Linked DNA regions of Canis lupus familiaris. The protein of the gene in region 2 interacts with the protein of the main gene of each other region in a pairwise test. Links are inferred from orthologs where the notes say so. Each region holds a gene or a part of one and is shown on either strand. Other genes may lie near its edges.

Region 1 (3,754 bases), on a different chromosome or scaffold from region 2:
GCATTAGTTTAAGATTCAAAACCAGGAGAATGTGCATTATGACAGATTTTACTTGTTTTGATGGAGTTTTCCTATCTGGCGACGTATTTGTGAACAATAGGCACAAATTTATGAAACAGATGAATACTGTTCAGTTATAATCTATAACCTCAGATAACAAATGTCTCTCAATATTATGTTTCTGACCTTGTTTTATGTAGATAGTAGTCTTATTAAATAAACCTACCTATTTATTTAGCTGAGAATATTAACATCACAGTAAAATTATATTAAAATGAATTTCTAAAAGAACGATTTATCACCCGGTTTAATATTCTGCAGAGACAAATTTCTACTTGACCCACGTAAACCTTGTTCTTTCTTAAGACGGTGTCCATCTATAAGCCCTCTATCGGAATAATGCTGTTTGTCTAAACTTCCACAATGACTAGTTTACTATTAAATAGGAGTCCAGGGATCCCTGGGTGGCTCAGCGGTTTAGCGCCTGCCTTTGACCCAGGACTTGATCCTGGAGTCCTGGGATTGAATCCCTCATCAGGCTCCCTACATGGAGCCTGCTTCTCCCTCTGCTTGTGTGTGTGTGGGTGTGTGTGTTAATGAATAAATAAATAAAATCTAAAAAAAAAAATAGGAGGGAATGGAGATCACAGAGATTATCCCATGCACTGAGAAATCTTTTTTTTTTTTTTTTGATGGCATTAGAGACAGGCAGAGGAAAGAGAGAAAAAGTAGTTGCTGAAGAATGGCAACTGAAGGTAAGTGATGGAGAGTAGTGAGGTTTTTATCTTATTTTGGGAGAGAGAGAGAATTGAGGTAGGAGCATTGGAGAAGTCCAGCTGAAAAGAATTCAAAAGGAACATATTCATAATTATTTGAGTCAAACTTAAGGTGAGAAATAAAAGTACAGAGATAAAAATAGGAAAAATTATAATTTTTTATTTTTATTTATTTATTTATTTTTAATGTTTTTTAAAATTTTTTATTTATTTATCATAGTCACACAGAGAGAGAGAGAGAGGCAGAGACACAGGCAGAGGGAGAAGCAGGCTCCATGCACCGGGAGCCCGACGTGGGATTCGATCCCGGGTCTCCAGGCCAAAGGCAGGCGCCAAACCGCTGCGTCACCCAGGGATCCCGGAAAAATTATAATTTTAATAGTTAACGATTATTGATCTGTTCGCTGTTTTGCAGAGGAGAAGGTGAGACGCAGAGTGTTTCAACAGTTTGCCCAAATTGGCACAGCTAGGAAATCAGAGAGCTTGAATTCCAATCCTGGCAATCTGAACCACGGAAGCCGGGTGAGAGCGAGAAAGGAGGAAAAGCGGCCCATCCAGGGAGTGGTCAGTTCCAACTTTCAAATCGCCGCCGCCGGCCCGCCAAGGCGTCACAAAGCCCGCCCCCCAGCCGCCAAGCCACGCCCCCTTCCGTGGCTGCTCTCCCAGCTCCCAATACTTCCCTCCTTCCCCTAGGCCCCGCCCACTCCGCCAAGCATCATTTCCTGTGCGCTGGCTGCTAATTGGCCTAGCGGTCGGAAGTGAGGGCGGGCGGTGGGGCCGTTGCCGCAGTGACAGTGCTGGGGGAGTCCGAAGATGGCGGCGTCGCGTCGCTCTCAGCATCATCACCACCATCATCAACAACAGCTCCAGCCCGCCCCAGGGGCTTCGGCGCCGCCGCCACCACCTCCCCCCCCACTCAGCCCCGGCCTGGCCCCGGGGACCACCCCAGCCTCCCCAACGGCGGGCGGCCTGGCCCCCTTCGCCTCCCCGCGGCACGGCCTAGCGCTGCCGGAGGGGGATGGCAGTCGGGATCCGCCCGACAGGCCTCGATCCCCGGAGCCGGTTGACAGTACCAGCTGTTGCAGTACCACCAGCACAATCTGTACCGTCGCCGCCGCTCCCGTGGCCCCGGCGGTGTCCGCTTCATCTGCCGTGGGGGTCGCTCCCAACCCAGCCGGCGGTGGCAGTAACAATTCACCGTCGTCCTCTTCTTCCCCGACTTCTTCCTCATCTTCCTCTCCATCCTCCCCCGGATCGAGCTTGGCGGAGAGCCCCGAGGCGGCAGGAGTTAGCACCACAGCAACACTGGGGCCTGGGGCAGCGGGGCCTGGGCCAGGGGTCCCAGCAGTGAGCGGGGCCCTACGGGAACTGTTGGAGGCCTGTCGCAATGGGGACGTGTCCCGGGTCAAGAGGCTGGTGGACGCGGCAAACGTGAATGCTAAGGACATGGCCGGCCGGAAGTCTTCTCCCCTGCACTTCGCTGCAGGTCAGAGACTTTTGTTTCTTCAGGGGTTCGGTCTTGGGAATGGGGGTCCGGGTAGGGACGGAAAGCCAGCGGCGATGGAAGGGGACGGGGGCGTGGCTGTGGCTCTTCCAACGCCTGGCGGGAGGGCTCGGGGTTCCTTTCTTTAGGTTAGTGCCTGGAGGACGGGGGCGTGGTAGGGGGAAGGTGTGAATCCGTTCTTTTTGGAGCGTTCGCCTACCGCGTGGTACTTGCACTCGTCTCCAAACCCCCTTAGCGGTAGTCTCCGGGTATGGGTGTGCTTGAACTTTCCTCAGTTCCCAGTGTGAAGGAATAAAGTTAGATTTGGGCAGTCTTAAGAGTTTTGCCATTTGTTTCCTTAGTTTATTTCGTTTATTTTTATTTTTATTTATTATTTATTTATTTTTTTTTTACAACATATACAAGGGTATGTGTCCCATGAGAACAGTCTAGACCAAAAGAAGTTTGATGTACCTCAACAAGTGTTGAAGGATCTATCCTACTTTTCCGAAGCCCATGGAAGACATGAATGAAATCTGTGACACTTTTTCTCTTCCTCAAGGAGTTTACAGTCTAATTGGGTAGATTTAAAATGTGCCTGTATGAAACAACCGGAGAGGAATATTTGGATGCGTTATGTGATGGTGGAAGAAATAAAGGCTTTGAAGCCCTGGACACTCCTATTTGTTAGTTGCCTGACAGTTTACCTTATCTTGATTGCCTCAGTTTTCTTTTTTTTTTTTTTAAGTGTCCTTCTTTTTTTTTTTTTTTTTAAGATTTTATTTATTTATTCATGAGAGACACAGAGAGAGGCAGAGACACAGACAGAGGGAGAAGCAGGCTCCATGCTGGGACTCCAGGATCAGCCCTGGGCCAAAGGCAGGCGCTAAACCACTGAGCCACCCAGGGATCCCCTTGCCTCAGTTTTTTCAGTGACAAAATGATATCTAGGTTTGTGTGAGGATTTAGTGAGAAGCACCTGGCACATTGGTTCTCCCCCCCCCAAAAAAAACGCTAGTTCCTAAATCGTGGACCACACACTTTTTGTCTTTTTTTTTTTTTTTTAAGTCAAGTAGTTGACCCTTGTCTTTTAAAGCCATATAAAATGTTTTTATAAAATACAAAGAAGTATTCAAAAAAGGACTGTAATCTCACTGCCCAGATATCTACTATTATATTCCAAAAGATGAAGGTAATGTTACATACATTATAAACATTACATTAAAAATGTATGTATATATACATGATACAGTTCACATAGGATAGAAAGACAAAATGAAAAAGCACCAGGCCCACACACAAACATCAAAGATAACACGCTGAAGATACCTTCTGTTACGTTTCTTGCTGTTGCTCATACCTACCACTCTTTTAATTTGTTCTATTTATGGTAAAATATATAGTAAGAACTTATTAAGGTATTGTTTGTTTTTCCCCCCAACTTGAAAGATAATATTACCCTCATTTTACAGGTGACAAAAATGAAGCACAAACT
Region 2 (3,340 bases):
GAACCTTGCTTATTCTGATCCACAAAATGAGGCCCAAGTTTAGAGCATTTTAAAGGAATTTTGTCCTTTTGCAGCAAATGGTGATATACTTTGTCTTTTATGTGATCAGAAGGTGCCTGGAAGATCACAGAATCCCAACAGTTACTCCACACAGGACCATTTCTTTTTGTAGCTCCTGCTTCTGCTGCATGGAAGCAGCTGTTACGGCTGACTGGCTTTGTTTAGTGTGCATCACAAAGGGCCACTCTCTTTCTGTACATGTGGATCTACCTGGGGACCTGGGGCGGAGAAAAGCCCCTGTTCTGGGGCAGATTCATCCTCCAACTTTAGGTAGTGTATTGAAGTAGTTGACACTGACTTCTAGGGTAGAAGTTAGGAGGTTATTTTAAGGACACGGGATATCCATGGGGTCCAACTGCTTCCCTTTGAAGTTGGCAGTCTGGCCATGCAGGCTTGGGAGGGTCAGGGTCCTTTTCTTAGGTGCCCACGGTGGCAAGGATTCTGTGGTCCCCAGGCCGCATCCAGCTGCCAGCCAGAAGTGCACACATCTAGAGGGGTTTCAGGAACTAGGTTGTTCTCCGTCAGAACCTACGACTGGTATTGTCTCTCCTCCTAGTGGCCTCCGAGGCCTTTGAAGATGATAACTGCAGCAACTTCGTGTCTGAAGATGACTCGGAAACCCAGTCTGTATCCAGCTTTAGTTCAGGGCCAACAAGCCCATCTGAGATGCCTGACCAGTTCCCTGCAGTCGTGAGGCCTGGCAGCTTGGATCTGCCCAGCCCTGTGTCTCTGTCAGAGTTTGGGATGATGTTCCCGGTATTGGGCCCTCGCAGTGAATGCAGTGGAGCCTCATCCCCCGAATGTGAGGTAGAACGAGGTGAGTGACCGCCCTCTCAGCCAGTAGTGCCTTTGCCAGATGCCTCGCTGCCTCGGGAGTCAGCTTTCCGTGCTGCTCTAGACCTTTGCCAGGTCTCGGCACTCCCGTGCTGCATCCCTGGACCCCTGCGAATGTGCATTGTGTTGACCACAGAGATGCTGGCTGCTGTTTTGGGAGGGCTCTGCTTGGCTCTGCTTCCGAACACTTCCTCAAAGTGCAGCTTGGGTTCTGTCTTCGCTAACAGCCCTCTTGACAAGCATGTGCTAGAGGTTTGTTTCCTGGCTGTTAGGGTCTGACCAATCCTCTCTAAAGATAAGGGATATATAAAATGCCTTGACCAGTAAAAGCAATGTGTAGTCATGTGATGGAGAATGCTCTGTGACAGGCGCAGTTGGACAACCCTGGGAGATTCTGGAGGGCTGAGTTGCCTTGGGCTCAGGTGGTTCTTGGAATTGTCAGTATGTACTTAATCTCCTTTACATCTCTCTAGGAGACCGGGCAGAAGGAGCAGAGAATAAAACAAGCGACAAAGCCAACAACAATCGAGGTCTCAGCAACAGCAGTGGCAGTGGCAAGAGCCAAAGCAACACCTCCCGTGAGGGCCAGGCCTTGGAGAACAGGATGAAGCAGCTCTCTCTCCAGTGCTCAAAAGGAAGAGATGGGATTATTGCTGACATAAAAATGGTGCAGATTGGCTGATCCATCTGAAGCCCTGGCCCAAGTGCATAGCAGTATTTATACACGAAGCTGTATGGAGAACATTGTGCCAATAATCATTTAATATATGCCAAATCTTAAGCGTTTACTGTAAACTGCACTAATGAAGTTGTGACCTTGAGGGCTGAAGAGTTTCCTTCTGGGAAGAGCTCTTGGGCTGGTTTTTCAGAGTGGAGGCGTTGTTGCAGTGGACTGTGACCAGGGTCACAGCCTCTGTGGAATATTACCTGTAACAGTGTTATGGAAGCAATAACTAGTTCCTGTGAAAGAACCCGAGCCAGGAAAGGGGCTGGGAAGCTGAGCCAAACCGGGGTCGACAGCTTGCTTCTTTCCCTTCTCTTATCCTCAGATTGGGAAAATGGAGATGTTCTCTCCTTTATATCCCAGGGGATCTAAATGAACGCACACAAGAATGAAACTTAATCAGAACACCCCTTTTTGACCCAGCGAAGGCTTACAAAAATTCCAAGAACACGATTCATTTTCATCACCTCTGGTATTCAGAAGGGGCTTTTTAAAAAAAGCGTATAGACTGGGATACCCATTAGAACCATTTTCTATAAAGGTTACCATGAACTGCACTTTTTTTTTGGGGGGGGGGGGAGGTGAATGCCAACGTGGGGATGGGAGGGATGGAGGGTAGCAGGGACATACCATGGGTGGTGATTTGTGGCTGTGGGGGAGAAGAGTCTATAGCATAAACCTTATCCTACCAGCCAAGGGACTTAACTCTTAAGAGAAGTGCATGTAAAGAATGGTTGCCATTGTTTATATCTAGATTTGACAAGGTGTCAATTTCTCTGTAGGTTGTGACTTTAAAAAATTATTTAAGGGTAATGCTGCATTAGTATTTCTTAGAGGGAACTGTTCTTTAAAGATAGGAAAGGGAGTAGGCATGTGTTGGCACAGGCTGTTAAATAGAAGCAATGAAGTCTGTTATGCTAATAGTATGTGTTAAGATTGCTTTTCTTTCATGTTTTCATGGTTACATATATTTAGAGCACTGTATTTTATTTGTCCTTTTGTTTAAAAAAATAGCATTTCTAAAAGAAAAGCAACCCCATTTCAAGTTGTCTGTTAATTCTGATACAACTTGTATATTTTAGTCATTTGTAAATCTCTCCATACTGTAGTGTCTTCTCCTTTTTTAACGACTGATACAGTATCCTAATTACAAGGTTATTTTGTACTTGTCTTAATTCCTTGAGTGTAATAAAAATGGCCTAAGAAAATGTTTACCTTTCTGTGTCTTCAAATAAACCCTCAATCTTCCATTCTAGGCAACCTTCTTGCCACAAGGAAGAACATGGAATGCAGTGGTCAACTGTCTTAGTTTCCACTTAAGGTCCTGCATCCTACTAATTTAAGCCCCGGTTACCAAGGTTTGAGTTAGAATTCTGCTGCTGCTACTAAAGCTGGGCAGTAAGGAGACACAGCATTAGGAAAATGAAGACAAGGTGATTATGTAGGAATGCTTCCCAACCTCTGCTGCACTGGAATCTCTGGGGAAGCTTAAAGAATACTGTTGCTCTCTGCTATTATAACTCTAGAGCCCAGTATAATTAATTTGGGGTACACTTGCATACTGAACTTTTTTTTTTTTTTAAGATTTTATTTATTTATGATAGATACAGAGGCAGAGACACAGGAGGAGGGAGAAGCAGGCTCCATGCCGGGAGCCCGACATGGGACTCGATCCCGGGACTCTAGGATCGTGCCCTGGGCCAAAGGCAGGTGCTAAACCGC
Region 3 (3,654 bases), on a different chromosome or scaffold from region 2:
TTGTCCACTTAAACACTTCTAAATAATTTTTTTAAAGTCTTTTAAACGATTTTTTTCACTATATTGGGCTACTTTTTAATATTTGTCATTCTAAATATTTAGAAGTCAAGGTAGAAATAATCATTCCATAGCTAAATTTATAGAGTAGAATTTTGTCATTACTCATTGTTCTTTTTAGAGCACTAAAAAAAGTCTCTACTGTGTTGCTTTAGTTCCTAAAATGGTGCAGTTTTATAACACTAATATATTTGGAAAATTAATGAAAGCCTTCTCCGTGCAACTTTTTAAAATGTACTTTTATATTGTCCTTTATTTTATGAATTCTAGATTGTCTGTCATCTGTGTACTAATGATGTTTTTTTCCTTTATCCCAGTGAATCTGCATGTCGGTTTTATAGTCAGCAAATGAAGGGGAAACAACTAGCAATCAAGAAAATGAACGAGATTCAAAAGAATATTGATGGTTGGGAGGGAAAAGACATTGGACAATGTTGCAATGAATTTATAATGGAAGGAACTCTTACACGTGTAGGAGCCAAACATGAGAGACACATATTTCTCTTTGATGGCTTAATGATTTGCTGTAAATCAAATCATGGGCAGCCAAGACTTCCTGGTGCTAGCAATGCAGAATATCGTCTTAAAGAAAAGTTTTTCATGAGAAAGGTACAAATTAATGACAAAGATGACACCAGTGAGTACAAGCATGCTTTTGAAATAATTTTAAAAGATGAAAATAGTGTTATATTTTCTGCCAAGTCAGCTGAAGAGAAAAACAATTGGATGGCAGCATTGATATCTTTACAGTACCGGAGTACACTGGAAAGGATGCTTGATGTGACGATGCTACAGGAAGAGAAGGAGGAGCAGATGAGGCTCCCTAGTGCCGATGTTTATAGATTTGCAGAGCCTGACTCTGAAGAGAATATAATATTTGAAGAAAACATGCAGCCCAAGGCTGGAATTCCAATTATCAAAGCAGGAACTGTTATTAAACTTATAGAGAGGCTCACGTACCATATGTACGCAGGTAAGAAATATAAAGTTGCCTGTCACTTTTATTTTCCTGCTTCCAACTGATTTTCTTTGCTGCACAGGTCATTGTGCCTAAAATAGAAAGCAAACTAACAACAAAAGATCTCTGCATTATTCCGAGTTCATTTTCCTTTGCCTAAAAATACTGCCATTTGTACCTTTTCTGCCACATTTAAATATTATTTTTAACTTTACAACCAGAATTACAAGTAAGAAAATAAAATCACTTGGCTAAATTTACCCAATTGGTGGCAGAAACAAGATAAATCATCATTAGGGTCTAAAAACCTTTACCTTTTTTTTTCTTTCTTTCTTCTCTTTCCATTACTGAGATCTTAAAGTCAGTAAAAATTTTAGTATACATTCATTACCAGAACTGTGCTGGAATATGCGCATTGCTTTTTCTTAATTTCCATTCCTAAAACTTTCATTAAAGTTTTCAATATTTTTTTTCTGTTTTACAATTGATCACATTTAAGAAAACAGTATTACCTTAGCAGGGCAGTTTTTAAGAGACAAATGCATCCAAACTACCTAGGAAGATTGGTGGAAGCCAAATCAAATGTAATGTTGGGAGAGTTTAGGAACAAACATGATTTTTTTTTTTTAAAGTAATTCTATTTCTTCTAGTAAAGTAACCCATGATAATCCAATGTTCCTCAACCTTCAACTTTCCTACACGATAGAAAGCTTGGTAATTGTACAGTGCTGTAGCCTATGGTATAGTGGAAAGAGCACCAAATCTGGATTTACACCCTCACTCTGTCACAGTTCCCTAAGGTCCCAGACCTCAGTTTTCATCCCAAAAATCAACATCCCAACAGCAACCTTAGAATGTTATTGGAAAGAACAGATCAACGACTATATGCAAAAGCTCTTTGTAAATATAAATGTAAAATTTCAAAGAATGTTTTTATTACAAAGATCTATAAACTCAAACGTATATCTTATAACATAAATGCTCTTCTGAAGTAGTTGAATGTGAATGTTAACCTCCATCCCTATACTTCTTGCTTAAATATATTCTTATTTCTAAGAGATGTGTATTTCTAAGGGAGGTGGGGGTCTTTTGGTTTGTTTTGTTTTTTCATTTTTTAAAGTCCTCTAAATGGGTTCTCAGTTCTCTCTGGAAACTGTTCTGGCACCAGTTAAACTTTTAAAGATTACCCATTAACTGATCCATTGTAATAAAGATGAATAGCATTTGATAATATTAATCTGTTTGATTTATTAAATGTCCAGTCAGAACTACTTAAATGGCCTGGAAACTATCAGGGCCTCTTTGCAAAAAAAGTAAAATCAAGTTAGAATATTTTTATCAAAAAAAAAAAAAAGAATATTTTTATCAGTGATATCAAAACACTTTCGTTAATATCATGTTTCATTATCTCCACATGTCTCTGGGATAAATAAGCCAGTTTTGTTTTGGTTTTAATTTTTATTTGGCCTCCAATTGGTAGTTCTTTTGCTAGCTAGCCTTTTCCATAGTAAAATATTAGTGTTTTCCATAGGTTATTAAAAGCAGTTTGGATTCTCTAAACAGATTCCATTTGGTAGTAGCAGGCAGTAGCTGAAACACGTTGAAGATCATGCAAGAAACCTACTCTGGGATTCCAATTTTACTACTGATTTTTCACCTAGAAACTTCTGCTATCAGTGTTTTCATTTTACTGACTCAAAAATGAAAAAAAGCACAGGAAAGTTAAATAAGCTGCCTAAGATTTTACATAAAAAAGAAACAGATTACTCTAGCATCTTTTTTTATGTTATATAAAACTTTTTGAGAGGTATAATTTTCAGTAATTAATATGACTAACCTATTTTGTGATCTTCATCAGTTTCTGTGTACTCTTTAAGATCAAAATCAACTACAAAAATGTTTCATTAAATTACTCGAAACTTGTGGTTGCAGAATACTTCTTTCTTTGATTTTTAAGAATTTTTAAGGTTGTTACACAAGTTCAAATTGTTCTTCTTGCCACATTATTCTCAGTCTTAGATGATTCACTGATTTCATTAGCATGAACATCCTAAACTGTTTTTTATTTTAAATACCTTTGCTTTGAGTTCTTAGACTGTATTAAATTAATCCTTAGATTTTTATCTACATAAGACAAAAGTTTTACTGTTTTTTTTTTCCTGTAGAGCAATGTTAAGTAGAAAGTGCTAAAGAAGACTTATTATGTCACCATAGTGGCATTTAAATTGGAAAACATTTTCAGATTCCAAATTTTTTAATATAATTGTTTCTGTAAAACTTGATTGTTGATAAAGTTTTTTTTAAAAACTGCATTTCACAGAACTAACTTATTAGTAAACAGTTGCAGAACTACAATTAAATATTTTCTGGAAACTCTGCTTTTTATTTATTTTTTGAATTGAAAACACTTTAAAACAAAACTTGAACAAGCATAGCTGAGAGTTTTTCTGTAGTCTTGATTATTTTTTCTCCTTAATGTACACAATGCTAGCCAAGTCTGTAGACATAGTACTTTTGCTGTAGTGTCTTGTGAGTTATTTTTGATTGTGGCTCTTCTTTATATTAACCTTTAGCTTTTGAATAGAGTAGTATTTTCAATGGTTTTACTTCTAGTTAGTATAAAACACTGAAATTTCTAG

Evidence for each region.
Region 1: the proteins of SH3BP5 (region 2) and TNKS interact in a two-hybrid assay, tested with the Homo sapiens proteins (2 studies listed by BioGRID and IntAct). The link is inferred for Canis lupus familiaris from reciprocal best matches to the Homo sapiens genes SH3BP5 and TNKS.
Region 3: the proteins of SH3BP5 (region 2) and SOS1 interact in a two-hybrid assay, tested with the Homo sapiens proteins (2 studies listed by BioGRID and IntAct). The link is inferred for Canis lupus familiaris from reciprocal best matches to the Homo sapiens genes SH3BP5 and SOS1.

Annotation. Positions count from the first base shown.
Region 1 is NC_049237.1:35,854,897-35,858,650, reverse strand, and holds the start of TNKS (poly [ADP-ribose] polymerase tankyrase-1), read left to right. Parts: upstream 1-1,555; 5' UTR 1,556-1,589; coding exon 1,590-2,262; intron 2,263-3,754.
Region 2 is NC_049244.1:27,844,712-27,848,051, forward strand, and holds the end of SH3BP5 (SH3 domain-binding protein 5), read left to right. Parts: intron 1-616; coding exon 617-877; intron 878-1,367; coding exon 1,368-1,576; 3' UTR 1,577-2,830; downstream 2,831-3,340. UniProt on the Homo sapiens protein: Functions as a guanine nucleotide exchange factor (GEF) with specificity for RAB11A and RAB25. Inhibits the auto- and transphosphorylation activity of BTK. Plays a negative regulatory role in BTK-related cytoplasmic signaling in B-cells.
Region 3 is NC_049238.1:31,204,791-31,208,444, reverse strand, and holds part of SOS1 (son of sevenless homolog 1), read left to right. Parts: intron 1-374; coding exon 375-1,030; intron 1,031-3,654.